Linked DNA regions of Caenorhabditis elegans. The protein of the gene in region 1 interacts with the protein of each later gene in a pairwise test. Each region holds a gene or a part of one and is shown on either strand. Other genes may lie near its edges.

The links. Proteins that work in one complex are often made in the same cells at the same time.
Region 2: the proteins of nipi-3 (region 1) and cebp-1 interact in a two-hybrid assay, tested with the Caenorhabditis elegans proteins (one study listed by BioGRID).

The regions. Positions count from the first base shown.
Region 1 is NC_003284.9:15,603,962-15,612,243, forward strand, and holds nipi-3 (Protein nipi-3), read left to right. Parts: upstream 1-4,007; 5' UTR 4,008-4,010; coding exon 4,011-4,592; intron 4,593-4,645; coding exon 4,646-4,842; intron 4,843-4,971; coding exon 4,972-5,323; intron 5,324-5,370; coding exon 5,371-5,551; intron 5,552-5,602; coding exon 5,603-6,258; 3' UTR 6,259-6,662; downstream 6,663-8,282. Other genes in the region: Ras-related protein Rab-14, read right to left, coding at 1,322-1,484, 1,548-1,666, 2,159-2,403, 2,550-2,655; K09E9.3 (Transcription initiation factor TFIID subunit 5), read right to left, coding at 8,172-8,282. UniProt on the Caenorhabditis elegans protein: Adapter protein that regulates different signaling pathways. Required for larval development and viability. Involved in negatively modulating pmk-1 p38/MAPK signaling.
Region 2 is NC_003284.9:1,450,929-1,457,545, forward strand, and holds cebp-1 (CCAAT/enhancer-binding protein homolog 1), read right to left. Parts: upstream 2,941-6,617; 5' UTR 2,931-2,940; coding exon 2,778-2,930; intron 2,729-2,777; coding exon 1,983-2,728; intron 1,934-1,982; coding exon 1,873-1,933; 3' UTR 1,767-1,872; downstream 1-1,766. Other genes in the region: W05H7.1 (uncharacterized protein), read left to right, coding at 414-691, 1,054-1,111. UniProt on the Caenorhabditis elegans protein: Transcription factor. Binds to promoter regions of target genes, perhaps at the motif 5'-[AGCT]TT[AGT][TC]GAAA[ACT]-3'.

The DNA of each region.
Region 1 (8,282 bases):
TCAATTGCACTGGTGAAGCGAAATGTGCTTACGCAAATTTTCAAATTTCTGACAGTTTACTAATTTAGGTGAGTAACTAGAATCAGGGGTGGGCGGCAATTGCCTTTCGGCAAATTGAATTGTCGACAAATTGCGGGGTTGCCGATTTGCCTGAAATTTTCATTTTCGGCAAGTTGCCGATTTGCCGTTTGCCGAATATCAGATTTCCCGGAAATTTTTAGAGGGACTTTTTATAGAACGGAAACTCTTAAAACCGTTTTTTTTTGAATTTTTTCCGTTTTGTCTACATATTTTCATAGAATTTGCTTACTTTTCGAAATAGATGTAGGAATATTCATAGGATGCGTAAAATTTTGTCATTTGAAATTGGAATTCTAAAATTTCCAAAAAAATAAGTGCGAAACCACAATTTGCAGAAATTTTTTGGCAAGTTTCTTTTTTTCCAGCAAATTTGGCGAATCGGCAATTTGCCGATTAGCCGATTTGCCGGAAATCTGCAATTCCTGCAATCTGCCGATTTGCCGATTTGCCGGAAACAATCGTTTGCTGCCCACCCGTGACTAGAATCCCATTTCAGCCACGGATTACTCTGTCATTAGAAAAATTTACGCACACTTGAAAACACATTTGACTATTACTGGTGATGTTAACTTTGAAGATTGAGCACTTCATGCTTCAATGAATAGTTTTTTTAAATATTATATGTACAATTGAATTTTGCTGAAAAATGATTAAACAAAAAAAATAAATTTTGAAAAAGTTTTCTGAAATCATAGGTTCATAAAACTAACAACAGAGAACTATTTATAAGGAAAAGTGACAAAAATGACAAAAATCGTTAGTTTTTTTGATTTTCAAAGCACAATTATAGCACTTAATGGGGTGGGATCATATAGATGTTTCTTATCACACAAGGAATGGGGGAAAAATGTTCAAAACGGTTTTTGACAGAAAAAATCTACTAAATATGCAGTTGGTTGGGTGAGCGAAAGTGTTATATTATGAACGGTTCACAGTTCGATGATGATAGTGAGTAATGGGTGGGGGACTGAAAAAGACTGGGAATTGGTAAGTAAAAGTGACACAAAGTTCTGAATTTCAGAGTAGTTTTATAGTGATTACAAGTTTAGATTTTGACAGGCAACTAGAATTTGGAAACAAGAAACCATACCACCCAATGTTGATTCTTCTGGCATTTTAATGATAATGGGTGACAAGCTCTCACATACAGATAGACGGATTAGAAAGTAATAATTTAAAAAAATACATTAAAATCAATTGGGAATGATTTGAGGGGAAGAAGGGACTTTGCACACATCAACTAGCAGTTGCAGTCCTTCTTCCCATTATTTTCAGCTGCACGTGGCAAGTTCTGTTTTGGCTGGACGCCAGTGTCGGCGGCGTTCAAGTCCAAACTTCCGTCTTGGATATTCTGATAGATTTGCTTGGCCGTTTCGAGGAAAGCGTCTTCGACGTTACTGCCACTGAAAAAAAAGCCATTTGAAATTGATGAATTTGCAGTGGGGGGGTGGGGGGAAGAAACTTACGTCTTCGCACTGCACTCCAAGAAAGTGAGCCCGTTTTCTTCGGCGAAAGCTTTTGCTTCCTCGTATGGCACGTCACGTTGATCTTCGAGGTCGGCTTTGTTTCCGATAAGAAAGATGGCCTGAAAAAGGAACTTGTGAGAATTGGTGCTTGAATCTCATTTTTATTGTAAAATTAAATCAGTGCAAAGTGGACGAAATACTGTTTTCTTACTAATACAGGTAGATTTTTAACTCTCCAAATAAAACTAGATAACCCAATTTTAACTCGTTTTTTTTAGATATTAGTTTAACGATAAAACACACAATTTAGAGCACATACAGATTGAATGTTTTCCAGCTTAAATCTGATTCATGAGAATTTTGATTGAAATTCAGTTTATAGTCTACGATCTTTTGAGCTGCAAATAAATGTTATGCTTGCAAAAATTCATAAATTGCAATTTACTAAACATGGCGTACATCTATGTAGTTTTGAAATTTTGCTGAAAGTTCAAATTCGCTTTAATTTTGGAACTTGGGAATGCTTTTATAAAGTATAAATTCGAGTTTTTATATATTTTTCAACCCTACTTTTGAGTAAAAATTATAAACCAAGTATATATTTTACCTACCGTATTTGGATTGGTCAAGCTTTTTGCGTCGGCCAACCAGCTGCTCAAATGATTGTAGGTAGAACGGCGAGTGATGTCGTAGACCATCAAGGCTCCGGCTGCTCCACGATAATATGATCGCGTCACAGCGCGGAATCGCTCCTGGCCCGCCGTGTCCCAGATTTGAAGCTTGATCTTCTGTCCGCTGACCTCAATAATCCTGGTGCCGAATTCCACGCCGATTGTGTGCGGGCAGTCGGCCATGACTGAAAGTTAGTTATAGTTAGTTTTTGCGTTTGTTGCCCGCAGTGATTGTACGGTGGTTATTGACCGGAGGAACAGGTCTCTTGTTGATGACTAATGTTGACACAAACAACATGATATATCGATTTTCCAGGAATGCGGGACTTACACTTCTTTTCTGTGAACTGATGAAGAAGACACGATTTTCCGACACCCATATCACCAATAATAATATATTTGAAAATATACGAATAATTGTAAGGAGCAGCCGTCATTTTTATGTGTTTTTGTTACCTGAAAGTTGCGGATTATATTTTGGTTATTCGTTTCAGAAAAAAGGATACAAAAAAGTAGCAATGAGAATAGATAGACCACACAAAAGAAAGTGGCTATTAGAGACTGACTGCCAAGTTGTCATTAGTTGGAAGTAGGGGAAAACCGACGGGGAGAGAGAGACAAATGTGGAAGTAGTTGGGATAGAGAAAGATGAACGCCACGTCCAAAAGCAATAGAGAATCCATTGGCCTCCAGAAAGCTAAAAGAGGCAATGTCGGAGAGAGAGAGAGGAGCAGTTGTACGAGGAGTGCTACGCAATGGAATATCACGAGGAAAGAGACACTGGACAAAAACGGGGGCCCCTCCATTCCTCTATCTCTGTCTTCTCTGAGAAACGACGCGTCGCGTACTATCGACCGCGACGCTTGCAACGGAACTGGTCTCTACTGCGTGTCTCTAACGTCTCGCTCTCGGTGTGCGCTGTACTGTGCTGTCTGACTCTCGCCTTATGTGCCGCGTAGGAGACGGATTGGAGATGAAGAAAAAAACACGTAGAGAGACAAAAAGAGAGAAGAGTGAAATGACGAGTGAATGCGCACGTGTGTGTGGGCTCTAGCTTTTCTCCTTATTCATCTGTCATTGGTGTTGAGCCAGCTATCTTTTTCCTTGTTCCAAAGAGATCATGCTTTTTCTTTTTCATATACGTAGATGCCTAAGACATGGAAAAAACAATTATTTCCTCCTGCTTCTTGTTTTGCTCTTCAAATTCATCTTCAGAACAGAGTAAAATACTATAATATTAAATATGCTTAATAGCCTAATCAAATTGCAAATTATGACTTCAATTTCCAACCATGGCTCCCCTAATCGGTTACAACTCGTTTGTGAACAGTCTTACAGTTCTCGAGACATTTGATTTTATCACTATTCGACCATCTACCCACTCATTCTCTATCTCTCGTTTCGGTCCCCGTAGTTTCCTTCTCTGACACTTGTGTTGATCGTAGTGCCGCGATGATATTTCGCAATACCTGCTGATGCACGAGCTTCTCTCATCGCCACGCGCTCTCTTCCGATTCCTCTCGTCGTTTCTGTGATATGTGAAGAAGGGCGGTCCTCCCTCTAGTCATCTACAATGTAGTATTGCGAAATATTAAAAAAAAAAAAAACGGAAAATTCATTGTGAAACCCTCGCAGCCAGTAATGTTTCGCAATAACACCCCTTCATTCTTACCAATTCTAGGGTTATCATTCTTTGCATTTTCTTGTCTGTAGTCTACCAACTTTATCTCATTTGCTTCTTCTCCTTTTGTAACAATGTTCCCTAAACATTATTTTTTTTGTTTTTCAGGGTATGGCTCGTACAAAATGCAAAACCAAAACCGTAGCCAATCCTAGAACTGGAGTCAGAAAAACCGCAAAAGATCTTTCTGAACCAGTTCGTCAGGATGCCGTTTCAAGAAGGAGGCCCACAACTCTTCCTTTTGTTGGAAATACCTCAAGTCGTCCAAGGGTGTTTTACGATGTTCTAGCCAAGAAGAATGTCGTCTTCCCAAATGTCAAAGCAGAGTACCACTATAGAGTTCGCAATGCTCCGAAGATTGATCCAAAGAATTTTGGCACGACGCTTCCAATCTGCTATTCTTCAATCGGACCTGCAAAAACACTTGAACTTCGTCCACTGGGTCGTCTACCCCCGCACATCATCAAAGCGTTGAATGATCACTACGTGCAACTGACACGTGGATCTATGGTTCCGGCTGCGGATCTATATAACAATGGAGATCATCCAGCAGAACAACGCATACCAACAATGTTGAATGAGAATGAGTACTTGCGTTTGATCCAGGAACTCGAGGAAGAGGAGAAGTCGAAGCAGTTTTCAGCTACATCCAGCTCCGCACCACATGTGAACCCATATAGTGCCCAACACTTGGTGAGTTGAAATTAAAATTTGAAATCTTCTCATTCAAAAGAATCAATGTTAAGGTTAACGGTGAAATTATCGGAATCTTTGTCATTTATGGAACTGGTCTTGTTACTCGCGCTGTTTGCTCACAAACTCGCGAAATGTTTACCGCTCACGTGCTTCCTGAATGGAAAGCGTCGAAAGTGATTGACGTCATTCGACGACTTCAAATCCCCACCGACATCTCATCCATGACCGCTGATGAAATCCGTTTAAGGTGAGTCAAAAAAAATGCTCATATGATGAAACAAAGGGGGGATTATGAAATCATTTAAAAAGTAAAAGTCAGAATCGGGACGCTGACGTCATAAAGTCAGAAAGTTGATACAATCTTTGAATAATTCAGCGAACTCTGCATATCAAAGAGAATGGAAATTATCAAGAGTAACGACAGATACATTCTTATGAATCCGTGCGAATCGGCTACAATTCACTCCTACGCCACCGAGCGTCTTGATGAAATAACTGAAAACGACGTGATGAGTATCTACCAAAAGGTTGTGGAGATTGTTCGATTTTGTCATTCGAGAAAAGTGATTCTCCAAAACTTCAAGCCTAGAAGCTTCTACCTAAAGAAAGATGCACATAACAAATGGGTTGTTCGTCCGTGCTTCCTTCAAGACATGAGCTGTGAGGAAGATCAGTCCGAAGCGCAATTTACTCGTAGATCAGTTTGCGTTCCATTCATGGCTCCGGAGGTTTGCAGTTCAAATATTGTTCCACATTAAAAAACATAAAATTTCAGATGCTCACTGCCGAGTCGAGAACACATCATAGCTATAGCACCGAGCTTTGGGGACTTGGTGTCTTACTGTACATATTGCTAACTGGAAAGTATCCATTCCATGAGAATAGTATGCCACTGTTGTTCCGTACCATCAAATTCAAACAACATCGCTGGCCGTTTAATTTTATATCCTCCAAAAGTAGGTCAAAGTGAAAAAATTGAAATGGTTTAAACTCCGCGCCTATTTTAGGTAGAAACATTGTGAACATGCTGCTAAAAAAAGCACCAGCAACCCGAATGAATCTCGAAGATCTGTGGAATCAAGTGAATGGAGATTTCCCGGAAATTAGATGTCGTTCCAACATAATCCTGAAGAAACAGGATATGATTGTGAAGATGGACCTGTTCGAGATGTACTACAACACCTATAAAGATCGACTTCTTCCGAAAAACGTACTCCCAATGTATGAAGAAATGAAGGCTTGCAGAAATGATTCAACAATTCTCACCGAAATGGCAAAGAGAGATTTTCGCTCAATTCAAGAGCAGATGAAACGTCGAATTGAAACGAAACCAACTGAATATCAAACATTAGTGATGCAAGTTCGCCTGCAACAGATCAACCAACTATTCTTCGAGAAGGAAGTAAGCCAAGCCCAAAAGCAACATCGTGCTCCAAGACTGGTCCAACTGAAATGCAGTGATATATCGAAAGAGCTACTGCTTCCCGGTGACATTTACCCAATTAGCGAACATTATCACCCAAGCCAGCAGCCAGTTGATAAAGTCGTCTACAAGCTTCTGTCCGACGCCAATTCGCTGGCGTTTCCAACTGTTATGAAAGGGACCGTTCCGAAATCATATCCACCTCCGGTGTTCAAGGGACTTGACATATCGCCCTCCTAAATAGAACATGTAAATAGATAGCTAGCTTTCTTTATGTACTTTCCAACTTTCTGTATGTTCTCTCGCATCCTTGTAATTAACTCGTCAGAAATTCTTATTCTACCAACTTTCAAAATTCCGAATATTTTAGAAAATCTGTAATGTAATTCAAGGTCGACAAACTACCTCTATGGGTGTTTTATTTATCATCATGTCTGTTTTTTGTTTCAATCTCCAACTTCATGTAACTACTCTTATCTCATATAAGGTCTGCCAATGTGTATTCCTCCCTGTCTCCTCCCAGTCAGCATTCAAACTTTCGCAAGAAGTTTCGATACTGTAGCACTGCTATAATATACATATTCACAAAACTCTTTTACAAAACCGATAAGCCTGTGAATTATCAATAAACATTGGGTCACAAACGACGAAATAGAATTGCATTCGAGATAAGAACTTTATCATTGAAAAGTGAGCAGAATTCATTGCAAGCAGAAAGTTCGATTTCGCAACAGACACGTCTCACGTGCAAGTTGGTAATTTGAAAAAGTCATGCAACATTGGAAATTGAAAATAAAAATGAAAGTTGTTGACTGCTAGAATTAGAAATCATGGGCACTGTTTACGAGAAATATAGAAAGGGTTTTTTGGATTAATGAGGGTACCTAGGTAACTTTTTTTCCGTTTCAAGAAATTGAACATTTTCAGTAGTACAAGTTACAAGATAACTTAGCTAGCAATTTTAAAAATTTGAATTGTCTAGCTTAAAGCATACTTGCGGAATTCTGAATCATTTAGACGGCACATGTTCAAAAATAGATCATTTTGGGTCTGGAAGGAAATGTACAAATTTGGCAAATAGGCAATTTGCCGGTTTGCCGATTTGCCGGAAATTTTCAATTTCGGCAAGTTGCCGATTTGCCGTTTGCCGGATATCAAATTTGCCAGAAATTTTAATGGTATTTTTTGTAAGACGGAAAAACTTAAAACTGTGTCTTTTTTGAATTTTTTTAGTTTTGTCTGCATATTTTCTTAGAAACTGCTTACTTTTCAAAAAATAATAATTCAAAATAGAATAATATTTATAGGATGCGTACAATTTTGCTATTTGAAATTGTAATTCTAAAATTTCCAAAAAAGTTAGTGCGAAATTACAATTTGCCGAAAATTGTTCGTCAAATTGCTTTTTTTCCGGCAAATTCGGCAAATTGACAATTTGCCGGTTTGCCGATATGTTGAAAATTTCAATTCTGGCAATTTGCCGATTTGCCGGAAATTTCAATTCTGGCAATTTGCCGATTTGCCCATTTGCCGGAAACGATTGTCGCCCACCCCTTAAATGTAGTCACAAAGCAAACCAACTTTTATAAATACAGTGTCGGCCAAAAATATGTGCGTTTTTGGTTTTTCAGTGTTTTTTTCAATCAAAATTAGTATATATAACTCTGAAAATGAAAATTTCGGAAAAAAGCTTAACTAACAAGCTGTTGCTCTCACTTTTTTCTACACACTGAAATATTTTTCGAAGCATCAAAAAAATAATGGCATTACATACAGCGCCCGAGATCTCGTCAAAATTTAATTCATCAAAAAGTAATTTGATATTATAAATTCATTATTTTTATGGTTAACATTCAAAATAATTTTTAAAGGATAATAAAATAAAGGTGAAAATAGGTGATATTTAAACAAAACACAGGATGAATGATGAAGAGATACGAAGAAAACAATGCAATTCCTGAAACAGTTGAATCGGGTGGAGATGTGACATGGTGCAACAGAGATGGCAATATAAAGCTTTGAACAACCACAATTGTTATTTTATTAAAGCGGTGAATGAACTTTCATTTTATGCCTAAGAAATGAAATGGAATGGGAACAAATATTTTTTTTTGTTTCGAAACTTGTTTTGAGAACATTCAAGCTAAAGACAGTCAATGCTTACGCTTGGCTGAAAAAGAATGGGAGGAGGAGGAGGACGAAGCCTCGTCTCGGTCCTTGACTTTGTGCTTGCGTTCGCGACGCTCGTCTTCCTCATCCTTATC
Region 2 (6,617 bases), about 14 Mb from region 1:
ACCTAGTGAGCCAAAAAACATTAATTTTTGTTTAGGAATTTGTTAAATAAAAAACTAGAAAATTGACATTGAACATTGGAATCGGTGTAAAAACTAAACATAACTATGTAATTTTGGTCAGTGCAAGCAGATATTTCTCTGTTTTAGAAAAAAAATCCAGTTGAAACAATTGCCAATTGGCAAAATTTTGGTCAGTGCTATTTTTCTTGTCAAAGCATTTTTTGGCTTAAAGCAGACAAAATTAAATGAGTAGTACGGTAAATTAAAACTGAGTTAGTGTTTTCAAAATGGACGAGAATTATAGCCATTTGGTCAGTGCGATCGTTTTTCATTTGTGCAAATCTTAAAAATTTGAACCTTTTCAAGCTAAAAATTACAAAATCTGAAAATTTTGAGAAATTCTCAACTTTCAGCCCTGCTCCCTTTCCCCGGAAGAAATCCAGCGACGCCGTGCCCAACAAGACTCCCTCCGGCTTTTCCAGGACACGTTGGAGCAGGTCCGCCAGCTCGCAGAGCAACTCCAGGAGCAGTTCCGACAGGCGACGGAGCAAACCGCACGGATCCGAGAGGAGCAGAAAAAGATCCGACGAGCTATCCGAAGACAGAAAAAGTTGACTCAGAAGCGGCGAAAAATGCTCGTAGAACGTGAGGTGAAGCGGAGACGGGTCGCGAAGATGTTCTTTGCCTGCAGGTGAATTTTGAAATTGGCGTGAAAATTTGATACCTACTTGGACATTAATTTCTATTAATTTCTATTAATTTTGGAAATCAATAGTTTCTAAATACGTTTTTCCGAAATTGGGTCCCAGAAAAAAACCACTTTTTTCCAAAGTTTCACCTCAAACCTCCGTCTGATAAAATGATAGTTATGCTCCGAATGCTCCAAATAATCTTCATCAACGTGTGACACTATACGAAATGTTTCGAAATGTTAATGCCTTTTTTTCGACCATTTTTGTTATGGGCTCCTGTTATCTTATTAATCAGTTCCTCAGTAACTACAGTAATCCTAGTTAACTACAAAGTACGAAGTACAAACTACAACATTTTCAGAGAACGCCGCCAAGCCTTCCCAGACCTGGCTAAGCAGTATCTCCAGAGCATCAGCTGAGCCATCTGGCATTATCATAATTATTATCTCAAATCTCTGTAAAATTGTATTATTATATGTAGCACAACCCCTGGCTAGTCAAGCCCCCCACCGCAATATATTTATATATTTTTGAAATTTTTGAAATTTTTGACTATAGAATTTGGAATCCTAAATGTAAATTTTTTGAGCACTGATGAATTTATTTCTATTTAGATAAAATCAGCGATCAAAAAGAAAAAAACAATAGAAAAAAGGCAAAAATAATAAAGCGAATTTGAAATTATCAAGGCAAAATTAGTTAACACATGTTCAGGGGGGATAGGTTTTCAGACAAAAAATGCACTAGTTGACTGGAAGGGGAAACATTACCAGTGGTGTAGGGATTGGAAGAGGATCTGGTTTTTTGCTACGTGGTGTTGAAAGGAAGTTAAGGAAAATTTTCCAGCCAATTTCGAGTTATTGGACTTTGAAGCGCAAGAGGCTCTGCGAGCAACTCTCAAAATATAGGAAATTTCAAGTTTCACAACTAAGTAACAAAATAACTTGCCAGCAAGTAAACGGGGGGAACAGATGAAAGCTCAGCTTTGGGGGGAAGGGAGAGAGATGGAATAGAATTATGTACGGTTTGATGCTTGTTTTACACTGGGAGACTAGATTGGGATCAATGAAGGGGGGGGGGGGGGGGGGGTCACTGGAATGATGGGGGGAGAATGCCGTGGAATAAATATGAGGATCCTAGGTGTCTAAATTATTGATTGGTTAATTGATGAAGCTGCAGGTTACTTGTTGAAGTTCTCGAGGATGTGGCGTTGGGGCATGCGTTGCTCTTTCATCGGGCCTCTGAAATTACAAATCGTTGAGAAACACTAAGGGTTTTATTCTGACTCACTTATTCCTGAGAAGCTGCTCCAAGGTGTCCTGGTCCCGACGTCTGGCGTCACGCTCGGACTGGAGGAGCCCTTCAAGCTCGGCGATGCGCCTCTTCATCTTGTCGTGCTCGGCTTCCTTCTTGTCCTGGAGCTCCTTTGCCTTTTTACGCGATTTTCTGACGGCATCATTGTTCCGGGCTCTTTTCAATTTGTAGGTCGGCTCAGCCTTCTCCTCGTCTGCCTTGAGTTTGTACTTTCTTGCTCTGGTCTGTGGCTTGAAGTTTTCCAGTCCGGCGGATTTAGTTTTCTTGCTCTTTGGCTCAAAGTAGGAGTCGTCAACGCTTCCGTCGTTATCCGTCATATCGCTGGACTCCTCCGAGTATTCCTTCTGGTAATCGTCATAAGGAACTGGGCGTTTGACAGCTCGGCGGGTCTTGGTAGCTCCGAAATCCGGTGTCTCAGCTTTCACTTCACAATTCATCTTGTACCCATCCTGATCATAATCCCCAGGCACTCGATAGCCAGTGCCGTACGCCACGTGGCGCTCATATCCGTTCAGCTCCGGTTGTTCGTAAGGATGCTCTCCGTCGTAAAGGATGTTGCACTTTTGGAGCTCGGCATCATCAAAATCCACATTGTCGGTAGGAACGTCAAGATCGTGGAGCACTTGCAGGTAGTCGCCAAGGTCCAGCTCAGTTTCCATAAAGTCCACTGGATGGCGTTCGCGGTCACGTTGCTGGAGGGATGCGGCAATGGTAAGAGAGTCCTGAAAATATCGATGACTAAGAGTGAGCAAGAGCACTTTATCCACTTACTTGTCTTGCGAAGGATCCGGCGGAGGAGGTGGAAGCTCCGTTGTTCGGCATGTCAGTGAACCCACGTACCTCGGATTGCTGGAGTCTTACCAGGTGTGGATGCTTGAGGGCCTGGTCGCCCTTTTGGTGGCTGTAGTTCAGCTTGCTATACATTTTCTTTATTCTGAAAAAAATACACTAAACTTAAAGAGAAGTTAAAGAGAAATAAGAGCAAACAGTTTGCGAAAAGGTTTCGAATGTTCTCGGTGAGAGGCGATGAGAAATAAAAAGAGAAACAGAGAAAGCAAGGAGGAAAAATGAGAAAAGTGAAATGATGACGTCATTGCCGCCGAATTTAGCAACCAGCTGCATAAGGGTGAGCAAGCGCTATGGGACACACCCAGAAGGTTATCAGTAGTTATCAAATGGGAGTGTGAATAAAATAAACTAAAAAGGTTACATTTCTTACAGATTTTAGAAACGATAACTCAAACTTTTAGACTTGCTCCAACACTAGAAAATGGATAAAAAATAGATATTTAAATTGTCTATAAAGTTGAAAAATTGTCAGAAAGGAAATCGACATCACAAATGACTATGTAACTGCTAATTTAAGAAGAAGGATTATCAACATAGAAATCGGCTTCTAACACTACAAAATACTCAAACCAGCTCGAGGAGCCCTCCACCAGACCCAACCGTCTCCGGATTGCGAAATGACAAACCCCGACACTTTTTTCCACGTCGACTTATAGCCATGGGCGGGGCGAGTTGTGTACAATTAGACTCCAAGGAGATGGATGAATACCGACGCTAGGAGGCAGGGCGCAAAGTATTGCGAAATCGGCGGCAATGTTGTGTTGTGAGAAGAGAGGAGGGGACAGGAGACGCAGAGCTTGCGATGAGTCACAACGCCGCCTCTGCGTCTCTTCCCGCTGCACACTATGCGGGGCGAGAGGAATGGGAGAAGCGCGAGTGGTTTTGTTGTTTGCTGGGAAAGACGCAGAGAAACCGAGGGAACTGGACTGTGAGTCATACATGTCATGCATACTGCAAAGTCATGAAAAACTGTCGTGGGGGAAAATGGAGATTGTAGGAGAGAGAGAGAAAAAAGAACAAACTAAATAGAATTGTTCCAAATTTGAACATGGTGCATCGGCTACACACTTCGACTGGTAGCCATAAAATAATCATTTTTAGTTAAAAAACTATAAAACAAATACTATGTTAGTTGGCAAATTGTTATAAATTCATTCAACATCTGTTCAGTTAGAAGGTAACGGCTCAACAAAAACTATTGCTCATCGTGCATCGATTGGGATCACAGTTCCCATTCTAGATCCTTGCTGGTAAATATTCCTATTTTTTTGAAAAACTATAAATTTTCAACTTCAAACCGCTAGAAAACGTAATAATAAGAATTTTTTCAATTGAAAATTTTCTGAAAATCTCAAAAACAACCAAGTTATAAGCTGTTCAAGTTAGAGTGCAATACTAAAGTGATTTTAATACATGGTGCATCGACAAGAATCATATGAACTTGACAGTCCATGTGTTGGCACGATTTTAGTTCTAAACTTATTTTTGACTACAAAATTCGAAAAATGTGATAAAAAAGTATTTTGTCAATTGTTGACAATTTATTACCGAAATCAAAAACAACCAAAATATTGTTTTCAAGGTATAAATTTATTCTTTACTACAAAATTATAGAAAATGTGACAAAAACAAATACAAGTTTCTCAAGTTAGAGAGCTATACTGAAAGAGTAATAACTAAACATGGTGCATCGATAAAAATCATATGACTTTGATAGTCTATATCAGGGCTGGGCGGCAATTGCCGTTCGGTAAATTGATTTGTCGACAAATTCGGCAAATCGGCAAATCGGCAAACCGGCTATTAGCCGATTTGCCGGAAATTTCCAATTCCGGCGATATGCCGGTTTGCCGATTTGCCGGAAATTTTAATTTACGGCAAGTTGCCGACTTGCCGATTTGCCGGATACCAGATTTGCCTGAAATGTTTAAAGGGGTTTTTTATAAGACGGAAGCACTTAACACTGTCTATTTTCGAATTTTTCTCGTTTTTTCTACATATTTTTTATAGAATATGCGTACTTCTCAAAATAGATATAGGAAAATTCATATGATGCGTTTAATTTTGCCATTTGAAATTGAAATTCCAAAAAATAAGTGCAAAACCACAATTTGCCGAAAATTTTTGGCAAATTACCGATTTGTCGGCAAATTCGGCAAATCGGCAATTTGCCGGTTTGCCGGAAATTTTAAATTCCGGCAAATTGCTGATTTGCCGAAAATTTCAATTCCGGCAATTTGCCGATTTTCCGATTTGCCGGAAAAAATCGTTTGCCCCCCACCCCTGGTCTATATGTCGGTATATTTGGAATATGTACGATAATTTTCTGATTCAAAAAATAAAGAAAACCTGCTAATACACATATTTATAGTCAGATAACTATTATAAACCTAGAAATTTTTTAACCATTAGTTGTTCCAGTTTAAAGTAAAAATTGAACATGTTGCATCGAATGGGAATTTGGAAAACGTTTTAAAAAAATTCATTATTTTTCAGCAGAAAAAATATATCAAAAATAAATTTTAAAATCTTGTCAGTTAAAATTTCAAAAAAAAAAAATTAACTTTCGAATCCTCAACAAACTGAAAAAAACACATCACAACCTTCGCGCCCAAAACAAAGAAAAATCACATTTCTGATTTCGAGTGCGAGGAACGCGATCTAATTCGATCAAGAACCCCCAATCGGCGCCTACGCCTCTCGATTTACGAACAAAAATCAATAGCTAGCATATATGTCATATGCCTAGAAAATGATGACAAACCCGTGTAATATAAGCGGGGAGAAAACTTTGTTTGCTAAGGGTAAGATGACAATTGCAATTGAAAACACTAGGTCATGTGGTAAAAATTGGCGTAAATTTGGAATTTGATTAGTTTAGAATATTTTAAATATGTTTTTTTATTGTTAACTGGGTTAGTAAATAAGAAATTTAAATTTAAAAGTTAGGTCAAAATTCGAATTTTTAAACTTCAAATATAATACAGTCAAAATTTTCAGTTTTCAAGGTCATTCAAATACCAATTCACTAAAGTTTCTCTCCTGTTCCCCTTACCCTCTTCCCCGTAAAAAATATGACGTGTGGGCAGCAGGCAGCACCCAAATGTCAATAAAGAGTGCCTCATTGAACGTATCAGATGATAGGATGATGAGGGAGTAGAGAAACGACACATGAAAAAGAAAAGAGAACAAAAAACAACAAGAAGGAGATCCCTGGAGGAAGAGTGTTTATTAAACAGCTGCTGCTGGTCAGTGGCCCAGAGATTATGACAAATAAAATATAAAACTTCAAATTTTTCTTATATTCTTCAAGTTTCTAAAGTCGATGCATCATGATAAATTACCTAGCTTTACACCTCAAGTTTAAGTCAGATATGAGCTATCAAAATGAGAAGATGCAGGACTAACTAACCCTATCGATGCACCATGACCACTTAAAATTTTTTCAGTTTATAAGTTTTTCATCAATTTTGTGATGGATCAATTTTTGATATTTTGAAAGTCACACTATACACAAACCGCGAAAATATAGAATTCTGGGGAAAATGGAGAAAAAGAAGAAGAAATGTGTAATGGGGTGTTATCAGTTTAGGTTAGTCAGTGCTCTTTTTATAGGCCAACTTTATTTTTCGGGCTTCTTGTGGGTGGAGTTGCGTTTGGACTGAGGAAATGTGCACTGACGGGACAAAGAGTGGAGAGTGATTAATTGCTTTGTAAACAAGAAACAGATAATCTTTCTGGAAAGATATTTGCAGATATTTT